Linked DNA regions of Cricetulus griseus. The protein of the gene in region 2 interacts with the protein of the main gene of each other region in a pairwise test. Links are inferred from orthologs where the notes say so. Each region holds a gene or a part of one and is shown on either strand. Other genes may lie near its edges.

Region 1 (10,461 bases), on a different chromosome or scaffold from region 2:
AACGCATTTGCATAAAGTAAAGAGGCTTTGGTGCAGCAAACAGAAACAATGGAGTGAAGACACAGCCTACAGGGAGAAGAGTCTTCCTAGTGTTTTATCTTACTGGGAGTTAATATCTAAAATATATTTTAAAAAACTCACAAAATTAAAGCGTCAGGGTACACCCTGTAGTGTGGGTTAGCGGAAGAAAGAAGGCACTCCAAGATGAAATTTTAAGGCCTATGTAGCAGCAGGAAGGGCCAGCCTCTCTGATGGACTAAACTCCCGAACAGCTATACAGAGGTGTATTTATTGATTGTTACACAAACTATTTCCTTATACCAAGGTCGATAATTTAATTTACACATCTTACTAAAGAAGAACATTACACACCCCCATGACTCCAGTCCTTTATTATGTATCATTTGCAATACACATAATACAAGAGCCTCAGGTGTGCCTGATGCATCTTGTGTCCTAGGTCATAGTATGGCTACAATGTCCCTTCAGCAAAACAATCACTGTTTTTTTTCCCCAAGGATTCTTTTTTTTTTTTTTTTCTTTTCTTTTTTTTCCTGAGGCAGGGTTTCTCTGTAGCTTTAGAGCCTGTCTGGGAACTCACTCTGTAGACCAGGCTGGCCTTGAACTCACAGAGATCCACCTGCCTCTGCCTCCAGAATGCTAGGATTAAAGGCGTGTGCCACAACCATCACCACTACCCACTGGGCAATGAATTTTTTTAAGTGAGGCAATTGGTTGCTTTCTCCTTAGTTTTGTGATTGGAACTAAGACAGCTGCCTGTTTTGTTGTACAACAATTATTTGAACCAGAAGGTTTTGATGGCTGCACAGGTGAAAAAGATAAAGAAAAGAGAGCCCTGTCTTGTATTTTTGAAAATAGGCAGATACATCACAGACTTCCTAAAATATTTCATTAGGCCTTGGGCTGCTTGTTTTTTGTCAACTTGACACAAACCAGAGCTGCCTGGAAATAGGACATTCAATTGAGGAATTGCCTAAATAAAATTGTTCTGTGCCGAGGTCTGTGAGAGGCCATCTTGACAAATGAATAATGTGGGAGGGTCCAGTCTAGTCTGGGAGGCACCATCCCTAGGCTGGTGGACCCGGCCTGTATAAAAACAAGTAGGCAAACAAACTACCAAGCTGAGCATGAGCCTAAGAGCCAGGCAGTAAGCAGCATTCCTCCATTGTCTTGCCATCCCTCAATGATAGACCTGAAAGTATAATACAAAAAAAAAAAAAAAAAAAAAAAACCCTTTGTGGAGCCAGGTGGTGGTGGCACACAACTTTAATCCCAGTGCTCGGGAGGCAGAGGGAGGCTGATCTCTGTGAGTTCGAGGCCAGCCTGGTCTACAATAGCTAGTTCCAGGACAGCCTCCAAAGTCACAGAGAAACCCTGTCTCAAATAAAACAAAAAACCAAAACCTTGGTGGGGGCTGGAGAGATGGCTCAGTGGTTGAGAACACTGACTGCTCTAAAGAAGGACCCGAGTTCAATTCCGAGTAACTACCTGACACCTCACAACTGTCTGTAACTCCAGGTCTAGGGGATCTGACACCCTCATACAGACATGGATGCAGGCAAAATGCCAATGCAAATGAAATAAAAATAAACATTAAAAATAAAGATCCTTTGTGATGGCACTCTTGGTTGTCAACTTGACCACATCTGGAATTAACTAAAACCCCAAAAGTCAGGGCATATCTGTGAGGGATTGTTGCTTAATTTGAAGTGGGAATTTCTTCTTCTTCTATTATTACTACAGTGTTACAGTGTTTCTATGTGTAGCTTTATAGACCAGGCTGGCCTCGAATATATATATATATATATATATATATAGAGAGAGAGAGAGAGAGAACATTCTATAAGTTCTGTTATTCTAGAGAACCCTAATACCCTTTCCTCCTAAGTGGCTTTTGGTCAGAGTGTTTTACTACAGCAACAGAAGAGGTAACTGGAGCCACCTTGTAAACCTATATTGGACTTCTGACCCCCAGAACTGTAGGATAGTAAATCTGTGTTGTTTCAGGCCCTGGCATTGTTACTAAGTTGTTACAGTAGCAATAAGAAACTAGCACAGGGAGGTGGAAAGACAGTTTATGTGCAACATGTAACACACAATTGTTTAATTTCTTTTAAAGACATTTGGACTTTTTATTCCATGTAGACTTGAGACAAAAAAAAATTTAGAACATCCATCAAGAAATTATGATGATAGTTGGGCATGGTGGTACATGCCTTTAATTCTAGCCCTTGGGAGCCAGAATCAGGCAGATCTCTGAGTTCTGAGTTCCAGGCCAGCCTGGTCTACAAAGTGAGTTCCAGTATAGCCAGGGCTACACAGAGAAACCCTATCTTAAACAAACAAACAAAAATCAAGATCAAAGTATCCACACAATGGAAGGAGAAAAATGACTCATAAAGCCAAAGCCATCCTCTGACTTCCATACATGAACCATGGCATGAACCTGTCCACACAACATGCATAGGCACAGCATAAGTAAATAAGTAAACCTAGCCAGGTGGTGGTGGTGCACGCCTTTAATCCCAGAGCTCAGGAGGCAGAGGCAGGTGGATCTCTGTGCGTTCAAGACCAGCCAGATCTACAAGAGCTAGTTCCAGGTGAGCCTCCAAAGCCACAGAGAAACCATGTCTCAAAAAAACAACAATGAAAAAAAGTAAAAGTAAAAATAAGAGCTAGAGTTATTAGATTTTTCCTTTCTAATTTACACCAATCTTTCAAATTTTGAAAATTGTCAAGTAAAAAGGTACTCTGAAGTTACATTTGAAAAATCATCAAAACTTTTTTTTTGGGGGGGGGGTAAAGACAGGGTTTCTTTGTGTGGCCCTGGCTGTCCTGGAACTCACTTTGTAGACCAGGCTGGCTTCAAAGTCATGGAGATCCACCTGCCTCTGCCTCTAGAGTGCAGGGATTAAAGGCACATGCCACCACCACCTTCTGGTAGCCACCAAGCTTTAATAGCCATAACAAGAACAGATGTTACTTGGTTTATTGATGATTCCAGACCAATCTGCATCTGGTGCCCTTTAAAAAACAAACCAATATTCATTTATTTGTTGGTGGGGTTGGGGGTAGCCAGAGGCGCTGAGTAGATGGAGGATTACTTAATAGGAGTTGGTTCTCTCTTTTATTCATGAGATTCATGAGAGTGCTAGCCTTCACAGCTAGGATCTTGAAACAAAAACAAAACACAGCTAGGATCTTTACCTGAATGAGCCAGGCCTGGTGAGTTTTTCAATGGGAAGGAAAGAAATGGGTGAGGCTGTTGGAAATAAGAGAGAGGTCTCTGAATCACGTACCGGTGCAAGAAGGTGTGTGTGTACCTTTACGAGCCACATAACCCCTAGTTAAATCACTTATGTTCTATTAGGCCTTAGTTCTCTATCTGTAAAATGGGATGTTTGGACACCTTTTTAAATTTCCCTTCTAGCTCAGCATTCTGAATTCAGGAGTTCCTAGATTTAAGATATGTTTGCTTTGTTGCATGAGCTCTAAAAGGAAGTTAGAAGCCTCGAAAGAAAACCTTCTGCACACATAAAGAGGAAAAAAAAAAAGCAAGGGCAATGGGGGAGGAAGGAGGAGGATAAGGGAAGAAGCGAAAAGACAACCGACTGTATACAGAAAAGAGATGCAGGCATGAAATACACAAATAACTCAAGGTACACAAATACACAAAATTCGGTTGTCTTTTAGAAGCAGAAATAAGACATTGCCCCGGCCATCACATTTTGCTTTTGATTGTGTACACATAATAACTCCCACCTCTCGAAGCCTCAGAAGCAAAAAAAAAAAAAATAGGAAAAGCTGAAAACGTAAATTTTTTGTTTTTTAAAGAAAAAAGTGCAAGAAGCAGCTTGAAACCGTAGTCTCCGGACAGAAGCGGGTTGTCCCGGCATGCGGGATGGCAATTTCCTGTGCCACCCCGCCATCCTGCCGCTTAAACCAGCACACAAAAGAACCAGTGAGCGCCCTGGGAGCCGCAGCGAGCCCTCCGCCGGGTCCCCAGGCCCGCCCGCTGGGGCCGCTACGCCCTGGTCTCCGCCCCTCGGAAGTGACGTATCGCGCCCCGCCCCCACCGCTAGATCCGCTGCTGCTGCCTCGGCGGGCCGACCTGCAGGAGGAGGCGGCGGCAGCGGCGGCGGCCCAGGCCGAGGGAAGATGGCGGACGGCGTGGACCACATAGACATTTACGCGGATGTGGGCGAAGAGTTCAATCAGGTACGGGAGGGTCTGGGCTCCGCCACGGACGCCGACGCTGCGGCGGCCTGGACGCTCGCCACCAGGGTCGCCGCGGGAGGGCCGCGAGCCGGGCTCGGCTGCAGACCGTGCGCCCTTGGCGCCTCTGGGCCGCGCCGCTGTGTGAGTGTGTGCGCGGCGCGGCGCCCCCTCACCCCTTGTTCTCGCGCGTCGTTTATGCGGGCCGCGGGCTCTGGAGCGCGGGGCCCGGTCGCCGTGCAGCCGCCCGCTCGCCGGCTCGCCCGCCCTCCCTTCCCTCGAGGCGGCCTCACGCCCCATTGTTGGCTACGGCGGCGGGCGCTTCCCGCCGAGCTAGGCCGCGTGTGCGGGGCGGGGAGAACGGGCCGCCGCGCCCCCTCCCCCGCCGCCCGCCTGATGGTGGGGGGAAGCAGCCCTGGCTGGCCCGGCGCGCGCCCGCTCGCCCGCCCGCCCGCCCGTCGCCTCCATCCCGGCCCTGCCGCCGCTGGGTTCCGATTCCTCCCGTCGCTCCATTTTGTGTTTCTTGTCGGCGCACGGTCGCCCTCATGGAAGGCCGCGTTCACAGCCCTTTGTATCCCGCGCGCCGGGTCTCCCGGGCTCCTTTGCTCGCGTTGGCGACAGGTTTCTGCGTGGTGCCCCGGTCCCCGAGGCGGGGAGGGAAGGCGGCTTAGGTGTGGGTACGTCTGCAACAAGTCATCTGACTTCTGGACCCACTGAGTTCATTTTGAAAAAGTCTCACGGTGCGATGGCCCGCCGTGGCCACCGAGGGCTTGCGGGGGCCTTTGAGGCCCGGTCCTTGGCCTTTGTGAAGGGAAATAATAATCTGGGAAGATAAATGGCTTGCGCTAAAGACTTGGATGCTCGGTGGTTGGACAGAACAAAAAGATGGTGGTCTCTCGCTAACAGATCCCGGAGGCTGAAACGGAGAACGTCCACCCGACATTCTTACCGTGTGATAGCTTGCTTACGAGCCGTCGTGGAGGTGACTGTGTTTTGAAAGCCGAGTGTTAGCCCGGTGGGGCCCTACTTCACGATTTGAAAGGCTTGAGAAAGTGAGAAGTATCAGGTTTTCCGGTCTCACCGGCCACGGTCGCCTAGAACTAGCTGGGATGTCTGATGGTGAACATCCTTGGACAGGTCTAGTTACCGGAGTTAGTAACGTTTAGCCTCTTAGTCCTCTCCATATTTTTATTGCATTTTGTATGTTCACGTCACTTTTTTTTTTCCCCAAGTTGCATCCAACGACAGTGCTGCTAAAAGCTGTGGGTTTTTTCTTTTTAATTTTTTATTTATAAAAATGTCCCAGGTTCAGAGGAGAAGCTTAATAAGATGCAATTGATTAATAGCTTACCTTCTAATAATCGTATTTATGACTAGGGATGCAAGATTTAAAAAAACAAAACAATGGAAACTCTTAAATCCTTACTTGCTTTGTTTTTCAACAATGACAGTGTGCCTCTGGTTTAAGTATTAGAAAAAGAGAAGCAAATTTTGATAGGGTTTAATTACTGCTGACTTAGACACTAGATATTTTTAAATGTAATTAACCCGTTGCAATAAAACGTTAAGTTTGAAAATCTGTTTTTTATCGTGCCTGAGTTGTTAGTTACAACTTAGAAATTTTCTTTTGAGTGCTACAGAAATAGTAGATTAGTTAAGACCTCCGGATCCCCCCCCCTTTCATCTATCATGACATGTAGCATTTCCAAAACACTGTCATAACTGTGACTAAAGGAAAAATAAAAGTTTGAAACAGTCTTCATTAGCTTTTTTTAAAAATAGTTTTTTCCCAAGACAGAGTTTTTCTGTGTATCCCTGAATGTCCTAGAACTCACTGTGTAGACCAGGCTGACTTCAAACTCAGAACTCAGATCTGCCTGACTCTGCCTCCAGAGTTCTGGGATTAAAGGTGTGAGCCACAACTGCCTGGCTATCATTCACTTTTTTCACTAAGAGAACATATTGCTTTGTTTTTGTGCTCTCAGTAAGGAGGAATTGGGATACAGTTTTAGAAATTAAGGTTTCTCAATTGGTCATGGTGGCACAAACTTTAAATCCCAGCAACCAAAGTTGTGCTTTACCAAAATGCAAAATAAGCTTATAAAACTATGCCTATTTTAAATAGTAAATGGAGAACAAGATTAGTGTCTACACAATTTCAGAGAACACCAAGTACAATTAAAACTACTGCTCACAATAGAGAACAAAAGATGTGTTTAGAGGCTGGAGAAGGTGGCCCTGTGGTTAGAGGACAGTTGATCTCTTGAGTTTGAGGCCTGCCTGGACTACAGTGTGAGAGCCTGTCTCCCAAAGAAAAGAAAGATAAGCTTTCTTCGTTATCTCTATGAAATATGTTCAGACTGTTGAATACTTAATTTAGGAAGGACAGTATACTTATGATATAACTGGATGTGGTGCTAGCTAGCAAGAGGTCAAGAAAAGATAACACTTTTTTGATTCCAGTGAGGAACTACTTTGTAGGCCTCCTTTTTATAAGTGTAGCTTTTCATTGACTTGTAGCAGACATGTGTCTGCTACATGGTTGTGTAATTTTACAAGGAAAATCTTTGTAGGTTTAGATAGATTAATTGGAAGGGTAAGTAGAGGCTTTTTCCAAAATCCCTTGTTTGCAGCTCTGGGGACTGAACCCAGGCCCTTGCACATCTAGGTAAGCAAGCACTCTACCACTGAGCTGTATGTTCACTCCAGAGGTATGTTAGTGCTTGCTCTGAATTCCCGAACAAAAAAGTAGCCACCAAAAGATTGTCAGTTATTTTGAGATTTGTCATGTTTTCTATAGATGTTACTACCATTGAAGTGTTTTCATGAGATCCTACCCAGAATTAGAAGCAACAACAAAGTTGTTGATTGATTTAATCTCCCTCTTGCTTGTTTTTCTGTCTTGTAGCTCATGTTGACCTAGAACTTGTGGTACAACTGCTGCCTCAGCCTCTCCAGTGCTGGGATCCCAAATCTGTGCTAGCCATCAGGCTCAGTTCTTTTCCTTCCACTCAGGCCCTTGCACATGATAGGCAAACACCTTATACTCCTGTCCTGCATCCCTGTTATTCTCTTTTCTCTTACTAGGTGGTAGCCTTATTTCTACTAGCTGCTGTAGTTACCAATATGATATTTGATTGTAGTTGAGCAAATATTTTTCAGAACTAATCATTAGCAATTTTTAGTTATTTTGATTTCTAAACATTTATACATATTAGTTTTTTTTTTTTTAATTTTTCTGGGCTGTGTTTGTGTACGCCTTTAATCCCAGCATTTGGGAGGCAGAGGCAGGCAGGCAGGATCTCTGAGTTTGAGGCCAGACTGGTCTGCAGAGCCTGGCTCTGCCTCCCGAGTGCTGAGATTAAAGGAAGAGCCACCGACGCCTGGCTGTGAGCTGCAGTTTTAATTGTATTTTGTATTCTCTGAAATTCTGTGTGTAGTCACTGGTCTTGTTTTGCATTTTGGCAAAGCACAATATTGATTGCATGAAGTATGAGACATGAGTATTAAACGCTTTAATTTGGGATGGGATGAGACTAAGTGCATTTACTTTCTGTACTAGGTGATTTTTAAGAATGGAGAATGAAGACAAGAAGGCATAGAATCATATGGGCAGCTTGGATCTTAAAAGGTTTTGGATGTGGCCAAATGGAGAATAGTTTCTCCATGGAAGGAGAATTTGAACTACTGAATCTGTGCATTTATTACTACTGACTTTCAGTTAAGCAGAAAGCAGAATGCTCCCCTCCAGATTTATTCTTTTATGTGTATGAGTGTTTTTGCCTGCATGTATGTATTTGTATGTGCATTCCTGGTGCCAGTGGAGGTCAGAGGAAGGCATCAGATCCTTTGGAATTGGAGTTGCAGATGGTTGTGAGCCACCATATGGGTGCTAGGAACCCAGGTTTCTAGACAGTGCTCTTAACCCCTGAGCCATCTGTCAAACCCCAAAGTCCAAAACTTTTTGAGTATCCTGTTGTTTTTTTTTTTTTAAAGTTAGATATGCTCAAGTTATATTCTGTAATCCAAATAGTATATATTTTGTTTATCTGGGGGTCAGGTGCTTTTAATGTAGAATTTAGTAGTATCTGGTCTGTCAAACTGTGGGTTATTGATCGTAAGCAGTGCTGATTTAGTTGATCTACTTACTTTAAAAGTAAATGGACCCAGCACTCGGGAGGCAGAGGCAGGTGGATCTCTGTGAGTTTGAGGCCAGCCTGGTCTCCAGAGCAAGTGCCAGGATAGGCTCCAAAGCTACACAGAGAAACCCTATCTCAAACCAAAAAAAAAAAAAACAAAAACAAAAAACCAGTAAATGGAGTAATGACTGGGGTTGGGTCAGTTTTGGAATTAAGGATTTAGATGTCCTCTTTTGTAAAATTTTGTTGAATCATTTCAATTTATACTTAGTCATTGTTTATTGTAAATGAACTATTTTTCTTGTGGAACCTTATGATAACTTAATGAAAATAGTTGAAAGATAAATCAATAGGGGCTGTTAAGATCTAATTTAGCATTCTGCAGGAATTATAACATTTAATATGCTTAGCATACTCATAAAATAATGTTTTCTGGGGAAAAAAAGGATCCACATTTTCTATATCCAAGAATTCAGCTGGGATCTAAAATACTGCCTGGGTGACATTGCACATGCATTGCATATGTACAGACTTCTTACCGTTATTCCCTAAACCAGTACAGCATAATCACTTTTCCATAATCATTTACTGTGTTAGAATTTTTAAGAAATCTAGAGATTAAAGTATATGAGAGGAAGTATAGTTTATAGGTAAACACTGCACCATTTTATATAAGAGGCTTAAACATCTGCAGGTTTTTGGTGTTCTTGAGTGGGTTGGGGATATGTTGGAACCAGTCTCTTGCTACTGGGTTTTATGTGCTAATTTTTCACATGGCATTGAACAACCTTTGTAATGAGGGTATAACTCCCCCATCTCTTAGAGTTCTTTAAAAGGAATGGCTGTTAATACTTTTTTAAAATAAGGGTATTTTGAAATTGGTGCTGTCCTTTACTGGTAGTATCTAACAATGTACATATGGTATTAACTGTGATTCTAGGAACACCAAAACCAGTTTGGGCCTATCAGGGAAAATGAATACTTTTAATATCTCTATCAGAATAATCCCAATAATGGTATACATTAAATACAACTTATCTGTGGTATTAAAAATGTATGGGGTGGGGGCTGGAGAGATGGCTCAGAGTTTAAGAGCACTTGCTGTTCTTCCAGAGGTCCTGAGTTAAATTCACAACTATCTGTAATGAGATCTGGTGCCCTCTTCTGGCCTGCAGGGATATGCTCAGACAGAACACTGTATACATAATAAATAAATCTTTAAAAAATGTATAGAGTGTGATTAGGGGAAAATTGTCTAATAACTTGAAGAAGATAGTGCTAATAAAAAGATTAAAACATTGCCTTAAGGAAATGAATGGGGGACTGGAGAGATGGCTCAGAGGTTAAGAGCACTGACTGCTCTTCCAGAGGTCCTGAGTTCAATTCTCAGCAACCACATGGTGGCTCACAAACATCTGTAATGAGATATGGTGCCCTTTTCTGGCATGCAGGCATATATGGAGGCAGAATCTTGTATACATAATAAATAAATAAATCTTAAAAACAAAGAGAGAAAATGAAAGGGAATTTCATCATTTTTCTATCCATCATACCTTTTAAAATTTTTATTTTACCTAAATGTATGTCTGTATGAGGGTGCCAGGTTTCTTGGAACTGGAGTTGCAGACAATTGTAAGCTGCTATGTGGGTGCTGGGAAATGGACCCGGATCCTCAGGAAGAGCAGCCAGTGCTCCTAACCTCTGAGCCATCTCTCCCCATCATACTTTTTAAGTGTATTCTCTCACTGGCAACAGATTTGTGTATCTTGTAGGAAGAAAACAGTCCTATATTGTAAAGGAGAAGTGTACCCCTCCCACTTTCTCCCCCACCCCCTTATTTCTTTTATCTTTTTTCAAAGCAAGTGTCCCAGGCTGGCCTCAAATTTATGGCAGTCTTCTGCTCCAGCCTCCCAACTGCTAGGATTGCCAAAGCTGAGTGTACAGCCATTACTGGATTTTGATAACTGCATGTCATTAGAATGATTGTAGTGATTTAGAATAGTAGGAATTGAAAGAAAATACTTTGTTACTCTTTTCACAAACCCTAAGAGTTGTCCTCCCTCCCTCCCTCCCTCCCTCCCTCCCT
Region 2 (10,565 bases):
AGTCACACGAGAAAGCAGCACAGGAGGAAGCACCACTAAGGATGATGCCCTCACTCTTCCCCTGCTTCCAGACCAGTGGCAGCTCTTCTGTCACTAGACACCAATCACAAACACACTCAAAGCAGAACAGGCTCGGCCATGATGAAGGACCCCTTAGAGCACACATTTGTGGAGAGACTATATAGGCCCAGGAAGTCTGAAGAACAAGAAATAACTACCAGTGAAGAGAAGAGCACTAGTTCCAAACTTTGAAACTTACCTTTTCTTCTGCTGAGACATCAGCCATCTTAGGAAGTGGGGAAGGAGCACGCTTTTTTATCAGTAACAAGACATCTAGAAAAAAATTTAACAGTTATCTCTATGAAGTCAGTTATCATTTCATAGCCATAAATGACACAAAAGGTATCAGACAGAAGTTAGGGAGGATAGCTCAGTGGCTTAAGGGCTCTCTATACATGAGTGACAACTGGAGTTCAGATCCCCAGGACCACATAAATGACAGGTGGGCAGGGCAGTCTATCCATAATTGTAGTACTTTAGAGGCAGAGACAAGAAATCCCCAAAGCAAATTGGCTAGCCAGAATAGGCATGTAGACAAGTTCCAGGTTCAGAAAGATGCCCTGCCTCAATGAATAAAGTCATGTAAACCCCAGACCTCCACATGCGTATTTATACATGTACACACATCTTTGCATGAACACATGTACACACCACAAGAATGGTGCTAGATGCTTAATGTCAGAAAGCAGGGTTTCCTCTGGGTCCCTCCTAAGCCAAGCCAGCTCTCCCTCCTCAGCTTTGAAGTGGCTGGTGGGTAACCACAGATAACCTGTGGCTTCAGAGGTTGGCAAAGCACATCCCTGACAACCATACAGAGCACTGGTGGACATCTCACACAAGGACTCAGTCCTAAAAATCTGTGAGGCTAACCTAAACCCTGAACTATAGCCAGTCCATAGTTCACCTTGAGGGAGAGGGGGGGTCCCTTCCAGCTCCATTTTGAGCTTTGGTTATAGCTCATCATAAAGGATGACAGTCTGAAGTCCTCATCTGCATGACACACAGAAAACAGATTTTCTCCCATAGCAAAGCATGAATGAAGAGGAGGGTATGCAGAACAGAAGTATCTCACTCAGACCCTGAAACAGCTACTGTGAGCACTTCCAACACTAAAATAAAGCCACCAAAGCTTCAGAGTCTAGTTTTGCTTTAAAACAGGATTAAACATAGCAAGCACTCTCATTTGGCTTCTCAGATGTCTGTCAGGTTTCTGCTACTTTTCACAAGTACACCAATACCCACACTTCTTTTAATAATAAATAAATAAATAAACAAACAAAACCAGAGTCAATCTGGTTCTCCTGCTCTTGTCTAAATCCAGAAAAGCACCATTTGGGTGACACTGGGACGCAGGCTCTATGCTTTGGATATTGTCTCTCAAGGCCTTCTTACCTTGGTCCTGGATGTTTTCTTCCAAGATAGTTTTGGTGTCACTCAGCACCCTCTCCGAAGCTGCATGTATTAACTTATGGTGAGTCACACTCTTGGGGTCTTCTATGCTCCCATGAGCACCCTGGAGGAAGAATTAAGCCACAGATATATAAATAGGAATTGAATTGTGATAGGAGTAACAGAGCATAACACCTCAAGCCACACCTGGAATTATCAAGGCTTTTTCTGTCTCTGTGTCTGTCTATCTGTGTCTCTCCGTGCGTGCGTGCGTGCGTGCGTGCGTGCGTGCGTGCGTGTGTGTGTGTGTGTGTGTGCGCGCGGTTTATACTTGTCGAGTGTATATGTTTTCACGTGGGTATGTATATGTGTGTCCACAAGGATATGACAGCCAGAGGCTAAGGAAGGGCTCTTCTTCAACTTCTCTCCACTTTATTTTTGAGACAGCATCTCTCATTGAACCTGCCTCATCTCATCAATTTGACGATGGTGACTGGCCAATGAGCTCCAGAGATCCTCCAGTCTTTGCCCCACCCCTACCCCAAGTCAATGCCCAGATTAAATGTGCTGCTGCCACTGGCTTTTACATAGGTGCTGGGGATCCAAACCAAAGTCCTCATGCTTGTACGGCAGACATTTTACTGACTGAGCCATCTCCCCAGCTCATGGAATTATTGAGTTTTCTTATTAGCCCAGACAAAGCATAAATTACAGTAAAGAATCCCCACAGATGATTTAAAAAAAAAAAAAAAAAAAAAAGGCTGAGTGAAATGTCAGCAAGCATTGATCCCTCCAGGCCTTTAAGCTTATCACCAGCTCACAGTAGACTCCTGGGGATGGCTAAGACCTTGGGAACACAAGATCCTACTGATGATAAGCACTTGTAACCCAAATCACTTTAGTTTGGAAAGATCTTGAAAATGACTTTTGTTTTGTTTTGTTTTTTTGAGACAGGGTTTCTCTGTAGCTTTGGAGGCTGTCCTGGAACTCACTCTGTAGACCAGGCTGGCCTCGAACTCACAGAGATCTGTCTGCTTCTGCCTCCTGAGTGCTATGATTAAATGCATGCGCCACCAACACCTGGCCATGGAAAATGACTTTTAGATGAAAATATGTCTGTGATTTCCTGAGAATCTGAAGATCCAGTTGCTTTATGCATTTGCTTTTCCTTCTTCAGCAGACACAGGAAAATCAGAGGAAATGCACCAAAAGAAGACTGCTTTCCAGGAGCTAGCACGATTCCTGCGCAAGGAATACCACAAAGTCCTCAGCAGAGCACAGTGCACAACTGGCCTCAGCTTTGCCTTGGGCCCAAGTGATAACCATAATCCAGATGCAACTTACAGTAGCCCAGGGGACTCACAGCTGTGTCTATGTCCCTAGGGCCCTAGAAACCTAGTTACAGTGTCAGTCAGAGGAGGTAGACAAGAACTAGAAAGCAAACTATCAGTAGTACTGAGGAAAATAGCATCTCCAAAAGGACCCTGCAGGTGACCAGAGCAACCCCTTCTACAGACTGTAGGCAGAGGCCTGGCAAACATAGCTCATGATCTCAGCCAAGCTCCAGCACTCGCCCATACAGAATGCAAACACACAATCTCCAATGATAGAGTCCTGCTTGCCTCTGGGCCGTACCATCATCTGCCTGACTATCAAGTAGACAAAGACCAAGAACACAATGTCGCTGCCACATGACAAAGATGAGGATTCACTCTGCCTATGTGTTCAACACCAGGTATACTCACCTGAGTTTGTACATTTCCACAAGTTCACTACTTAACTGCCCAGCATCACACAGCCTTCCCAGGCCCAGGTACCACATCATACTAAGTCAGCTGCAGGCCCTCCCCAAACTCAGAACAAGGAAAAGGGCTGTAACTGTTTCTTGATGCTATAGGTCCCTCGGTGTTAAACTAAGAAAGAAAGACCCCCAAGAAACCTAATGAGATGGCTCACTAGTGCTTTGGCCCATCCCACATAGAATGGGTCACACAGCACATTTGGGACACAGGGTTCTTCAGGCCCTTCCTGGATGTTCTGGAAGGCATCTCTGATACCATGATATACACACTCAACAAAGGGCCTCTATACATATGGATGCTAACCAGAAGAAAAAGCTGAAGCATGTGTTTCCCCCAGATCCTCGAATTTTAGAACACTAGAATCCTCCATCAGTCTCAGATTGAAAACAGTCTATGCCCAGCCCCCAAAGGACAGGGTTTCTCTGTGTAACAGCCTTGGCTATCTGGACCTAGCTGGCTCTGTAGGCAAAACTGGCCTCAAACTCACAGAGATTCACCTGTCTCTGCATACCACCACTAACCCCCTTTAGGAAAGAGGGCTTGCTGTGTCCCTTTCCAAGACTTAGGCAATGGAAGCTGGGGAATACCATGGGGATGTCACTTTGGATAAAACAAAAAGGAAAGACAAAAAACAAATACATTTCTTTAAGAACTATAATAACAAGCCCCTCCCTGATACAGCAGTAGACTCCCAGGAGTGCTGTAGGAGAAAAATTTTTAAAGACTATATATCTTACCCCTCAGGTAGAGAGGAAAGAAGAAATAATAATAGTAATAACTCCAGTATGAGTGTGCACAGGAGGGTGAGGAGAAAGGACAAGTTAAGACAGCAGTTGTAGAAACCCCTCTCTTCTAATGACTGCTTTGTGACTCCTAGGGACGATGGGACCTGGAGGAGAGTCAGTTCTGATGGCTCAGCTCTTTAGTTCTGTTATTTAATTATGCTGTAACCCCCTGCTGCTTCAGTCCTCATACCTGGAGATGCATAGTAAAATAAAAATCTCAATTTAAAGAAGGATAATCACACACACACACACACACACACACACACACACACACACACAATTCAAAATGATACAAGTGCAATATTAAATATCACAAATAATTAGCATCATATCAAAATCATCTGCCTAATTTACCCCACTGCTCCTGGAACTTATTAGTAAGTATTTGTGAATCATTTCTCATCCTTCATAAAATATTGCCACAATGATTATGTAAATCCACACTATTAGTGAGTTAAGCAAAATGCCACACCAATGGAGGGGTCATCCCATGTTGATGTGGTCTGGGTTTGACAACACATTTTCATTGACTTCCTCAATCCTTACGCTGGCTTTGGAGTTACTCCAAGCTTGGCCCTGAGGAACCCAACCAGGTGGCAGAGGACACAGCACAGTACCAGACAAGCATAAATGCTAGAGTACAGTCTAGATGCCCAAGAAGTCCTCAACCTTTAGGCTTGTGTTGAGCCTGTGGGTTTTCTAGATAGCAAGACCACGGTGACTTGTTAAGAAGAAAAACAAGAAAGCGGTCTAAATACATTTTGCCCTTGACCATGTGAGCCTCCTTGAGGTGAACCATAGAAGCGAAGACCCATGGTAATTCAACATCTAGTGTGTTGTAGAAGGTACTTGAACCAGATCTCCTGGTGCCCTCTGTCACTACAGACTGACTCCATAAAGGAGATTTTAAACTACCCTTTCCAAGGAGCTGCTATGAAAACTTGGGAGATTGTCTTTAGAGGCAACACAGTGCTGCATTTTACTACAACCTTCCAGAGTCCCTGCTGAAGAGCTGTGGCCAGTTTTAACATAAACTCTGGCACTAATCATGTCAGGTATGGCGCTTCCATAGGCCACCAGGATCTAACAAGCATCTGTCTCACCTTTAACTGAAAGCAGTTTAGAGACAGGAAAGTTTCAATTATCAGTCCCAAGCCTTAACTACCTAAAGCTAAAAGAAGCTAACTATAGTACAAAGCTCACAGCAAATAAGTAAACTTCACAAAAGCCACTTGCTGGTGAGAAGACCCTAGTCCTGTACCTTGCCACTCAATCAACTGTTGCCCCAGCAGAAAACAGAAGCCCAGGGACTTGTCCCAGAGTGACACTATTTTAAGTGACTGCTGCTAAGAGCGAAGCCCAGGCCAGGGGCTCCTAGCAGCTGGCTCTCGGGCAAGGTGCGGGCCCTCTTAATAAAGGGATCTAGTTACTTCTCAGCTTCTGGGGAAAGCTAATGTAAAACAAAAACCTCATCCCCACAACAAACAAGCCCTAATACTAGAAAACTATGAGCGCTTGCTTTCTCTCTCCCAGTCTCCGTTCACTCATTGCCTTCACTACCTCAGGATGTTGCAGAAATTAAATAAAGCTCTCCCATTAGCCGGGTCGGACTCTATCCTAGGTTTGCGGCTCTCTCCGAAAAGGAGCGGGAGGCGCTGCCCGGACCCGGAGGAGCGACAGCTAGGTGCTGCAGGTTGCCCAGCCGACTCCAGGGTCGGGTCCCAGGCGGATGCGAAGGTCTGGTGTCTAGGTGGAGATGGGACTCGGGCGGAATCCGGGACAGGAGTCTAGGTTTCTGGTTTCCAGGAAGGAGGCAGAGATGGAACTGGGTCGTAAGGGGCTCGGCCTTACGTGCTTGAGGCAACTCTCCTTGAGCTTCTCCACCGACGTGTCCTCGGTCGCCTCCTCCAGCCACTCGGCGCCGTCAGCTGCGCAGATGTGCAGCCGAAGCACCTTGCCCGCGAAGATCTTCTCCTCCTGCACGAACATCGCGCCGCCGCCCGAGCCTGCGCCCGCCGCCCGAACCCGTGAAGGTCACCGGGGCTGGAGGGAGGACCAGGGGCGGGGCCGGGCCGCCGCGCGCTCCTTCGCTGGCCGCCGCCGCCCCCCCCAGCTCCTGTCGGCTTGGCCACCCGTCACTGAAGAGGCCGGAGCTGTCCCTCGCTACCGCTGCTGCCGTCGCAGTAGCCGCCGGGGGCGCGCTATCGCAGCCGCGCCGGAAGTGCGTAATGTGCGCCCGTGAGTATGCCGGGAGATGTGGTTTTTTTTTAGTTGGTGCTCCGCTGTAGCCTCCGCCGCGCCGGAAATACGTAAGTGCAACGAGCATGCCGGGAGATGTAGTTCCCAAGAAGGCTCCCGGGCCCATTAACAGAAATGTGTGAAGCAGGTCAGGCGCCTACCGGGAGTTGTAGTTCCCCATTGCTTCTTTCCTTCAACACCACCAGCCTTGATACCTGTTGTGTTGGTCTGTCAAGCACACACGATCTCAGAGTTAGCAGGAAAAAAACATGAAACGTCTCGGTCAGGACACTAGGAATGTGTCACAGATAGTAAGTGCTTGTCTGGCATGCACGAAGTCCTGGGTTTGATCCCCAGCACGGCATAAACCTGACACGTGTTTGTAATCCTAGCACTTAGGCAGAACCAGAAGAACCAGAGACATCATCCTTGACTACATAATGAGTTCAGGGCCACCCTGGAATACATGAAAGACTGCATTAGAAAAGCAGAGAGAGAGAGAGAGAGAGAGAGAGAGAGAGAGAGAGAGAGAGAGACAGAGAGAGAGAGAGACAGAGAGACAGAGAGACAGAGAGACGCAGGCAGGAGAGATGGCTCAGTGCTTAAGAGCACTTGCTACTCTTGCAGAGGTTCCAGGACTGGTTCTCAGGATCCACATGGTAGCTCACAACCATCCTGGAGATTGGATGCCCTCTTCTGATTTCCAAAGGCTCGACTGTAATGTTAATACATATATGCAAGCAAAGCACTTCACAAAATCTTCTTAAATTAAAAAACAAACAAACAATAAACAACTCTCATTGAGCCAGGAATGGTGGTGTAGAAGGATCAGGAGGTCAAGTTCTTTGTTATCTTTGGGTACATGAGATCCTGTCACGAGCAGTGTTTCTACTGACCTTAGACAGTCCCAGAAGGGTTTGTAGGACCTATTTCTAGCTGAGTACAATACAGAGTGGTGTGTTGCACCAACCTGGGGTCTCCGTCCACACAGCCATGCAGGTAAAGTGTAGGGAAAATGATCCAGCCAAAGAAACACACCCTGAGCAGAGCCAAAGAAACACACTTTGGTCCTGCAACCAGAACCAAAGAAATGGACCCTGACCCTGAAACTAGTGCAAAAGAAACACAGCTTTGTCCCTGGAATCAGAGCCAGTCAAAGAAATACATCCTGGCCCTAAATAAAACTAGAGCCAAAAGGCTAAAAAGGACCAGTGAAAGAAACACAGTTTGGCTCTGTAACCAGAGCCAAATCTGACCCTAAACCTGTGTAGAAACTAACTAATCCCTGAGCAGATCTAGGCATCCTAAGCTCAGGGATTGAAATCTGACCAATCCCCACTCTGGAAAAACTCCACCCTCCTAAGAATCCCTATATAAACCCTGTGTCTGTTCAGCTTGTGGCTGTTTGGGCGGCCAGCCTGGCAGAGGGCAGCCACTCTTCTGGATTCTTCCCTCCCAATAAATCTCTTAGGAAGGTTTGTGTGAGACCTTCTTTGGCCAGAGCAGAGATGACCCTGGGTGGGGCAGAGGGAGCAGAGCTGTAACACTTTTCGCTGGGGAAGCCTTCCTGGAGTAGAACTGTAACAACTTTGCAGGGGAAACACTCTCCTGCTGGAGCAGAGCTGATAAACCGGGGAAGCCTTTCCCTGAATCAGGGTTGTAAGCTGCTATGCTTATTGTGACCTGTGGTATTCTTTGGCTCCCGAATGCCAGAATACCTTTCCATCTGAGCTGTAACACTCAGTATTCTTTAGCTCCAGAGTGCCATAATCCATCCTGGTCCATCCCATCTGATCTGTGGAAATGCTTACGTAAAGGCTCTTGCCACAGATCTGAGTCTTGGCAGGTGGTCCCAGAACTGAGCAAAGGGGGTTGTGAGCAATGGGTCTGAAGCCCCTCTAGCTGGTCTTCAAGTTCCCTGGGCTTCTCCCCAACCAATCACTTGCTCTTTTTCCAATGCTCAGGAAACTCAGCTCATTCTTCAGACCTTAGGACACTTTTCTCCTGGAAGCCTGTCATGACTGTGTCCCCTGGGGTTGCATTTGTATACTGAGAGTGTTGGCAAAATATTTCCACAGAACCAAAAGTCAATATGAGCACCTTGCCACTGGAGATGCTGGAGGGAGTACCCAAACAGGACATGAGACAAGTCTCTTCCATGTGCTAGATCTGGCTCTCCAGGATCCCCTCCCAGGTGTGTGTGTGTGTGGGGGGGGTAATCAAGTAAAAACTGTGGAGACAGTGGACTTTTAATGTCCCTGTCCCTCCCCAGTGGACAACAACAAGTTCCTTCCTCCAACAGCCCCATGCTTTCATGTGGACCCAGAGATACCACTAGGCCCTCTGAAGAAGGATGGGCTGCCCAGCCTCCCAAGTCAGCCTTGCTACAAAAGCTTGGAGGTCACAGCTCTCTTGGTATGGGTAAGCTATGTAGATGCTGATGTAGTATTCAAGGGAGCACCCACTTAGTCCTCCCCCTCCTCACCAGCATGGTTCAGGCATGGGGCTTACATGGAGACTCAGCGTCTCCCCACTTAGTGTCATTCTGCACCTTGCTCAGTCTCAGTCTCTGCTTCAGAGACCATGCTGCCCCCTCCCTGCCAGCCCACAGAAAGGCATGTGTTTATTGTGTACCTGCTATTTATGCCAGGGGTGTAATGGGGAAGGTAGTGGAGCTCCCTGTCTGGTAGATCCTGTGTTCCTAAGGTGGGCCAAACAAGGGTCTGAGTCTCTTGACTAAAGCAATTCAAATCAGTTTTAACCACTTCGGAGAGGAAAGGAATCTACGGAGAGGTTTCTGGACTCTCTCAGAACCTCCATTAGCTAAAAGGACCAGGATAAAGTCCCGACGTCACATTATACAGGTCTTCCTAGGCAAAGCCATACTGCCTTCACATTAGACCCCTTACCCCAGACCCTAGCCCACAAAACTTGATGAGTAGGGTCCGAGTAACCTGTAGCTTGCAACACTCACACTCTTAGGGACACACTCCTACCCATATGGTTTTTAAGGAGAGAACAAGCTAGATGGGTACTTTCAGAGGCTATCAGCTCCTACCTCAGTTGGTCTGAGTGTAGCAGGCCCCAGGGCCCAGCTAGGAGCCAGAGAGGGCTGTGATCAGGAAAGAGCTCGCCCTGGCCAGAGACTTGTGGTGAGATGGCTGCCACAACCAGGTATTGGCTTCTGCCCCAGCACCAAGAATTCACTGGAGGAGGTTGGCATCCCTGAATGGTGACTGACAGGATCATGGCCCTCTTTCCCATGACCATCCTCTACTTCGGCAAGCACCCTGGGGAGACCTGCCCTAAACCACTGAGCTCTATGTAGTGTCAGAGTGCATATTATGTTGGCATTAGATATTCTGGACAATCTGGGAAGGGTCTCCCTGCAAAAAGGCATCAAGTCTGATCCAGATGTTCCTGCCAGCCATGAACAGGAAGGAGTCCCCAGGGTACAAATTTTATAAAAAGGGGGATATTGTAGTATCCAGAGCAGGCCACTAGACGGCGCAGGTAAGCCGCTGTCCAGCTCAGAGCAGGTATTTGAGTTGGCTGGGTGTGTGGCCTGAGTGTGCATACTGTTCAAGCGTGTATGTGGATGTATACATGTGTATGTGTTTGTGCACATATGTGTATGGATGAATTCATATGGGAATATGGCTGTGTGCATGTTTGTGTCTGTAGGCGTGCCAGTCATCATGGGTGTGTGTGGTGCACATTAAGTGCATGAGCAGGTGTACAGGTGTGTGTGTGTGTGTGTGACCCAGGACCCCGACTCTTGGAATGACCACTTCTAATCTACTGATACTCTGCAGGGCCCAGAGCTGGAGCTGCAGGAACAGTGTCACATTGCAGGAGCGGGACTATACAGAGTCCTGAGGAGCAGCACCGCCAGAGGAAGGTGCTGGGAATGGGCTATGAGGGATGACTGTGCTTTCCAGGCAACAGGTGAAGGAAATAGAAGGGCAGACTTTTTAGCTTCCATGCTCCCTTAGGGTACACCAAAGGGATCCAGTTTGAGAAGTATATCTCTGGTTCAACCCTTTACAGTGGGAGACTCTTAAACCTAGAAAGAGGAGAAAGCAGGGGTTTGATCACTTGTCCTGCTCACTGCAAAAGCCAGTACCAGATCCTCGGATCCAACTCCTAAAGAGTTCCTATTCTTCCCCTAAGGTCTCCCTGAGCTGGCCTAGACACTGGCCACCATAGTCAACCATTGTTAGAGTGTCCTGAGGTAGCTACAGCTCCGCAAGGGAGTATGTAGCTCAAAACACCAGAAATGCCTTCCCAC

What was found.
Region 1: the proteins of Ubac1 (region 2) and Cpsf6 interact in a two-hybrid assay, tested with the Homo sapiens proteins (2 studies listed by BioGRID and IntAct). The link is inferred for Cricetulus griseus from reciprocal best matches to the Homo sapiens genes UBAC1 and CPSF6.

The regions. Positions count from the first base shown.
Region 1 is NW_023276806.1:138,941,765-138,952,225, forward strand, and holds the start of Cpsf6 (cleavage and polyadenylation specificity factor subunit 6), read left to right. Parts: upstream 1-4,082; 5' UTR 4,083-4,179; coding exon 4,180-4,239; intron 4,240-10,461. UniProt on the Homo sapiens protein: Component of the cleavage factor Im (CFIm) complex that functions as an activator of the pre-mRNA 3'-end cleavage and polyadenylation processing required for the maturation of pre-mRNA into functional mRNAs.
Region 2 is NC_048599.1:137,393,329-137,403,893, forward strand, and holds the start of Ubac1 (ubiquitin-associated domain-containing protein 1), read right to left. Parts: upstream 6,171-10,565; 5' UTR 6,026-6,170; coding exon 5,888-6,025; intron 1,574-5,887; coding exon 1,453-1,573; intron 334-1,452; coding exon 260-333; intron 1-259.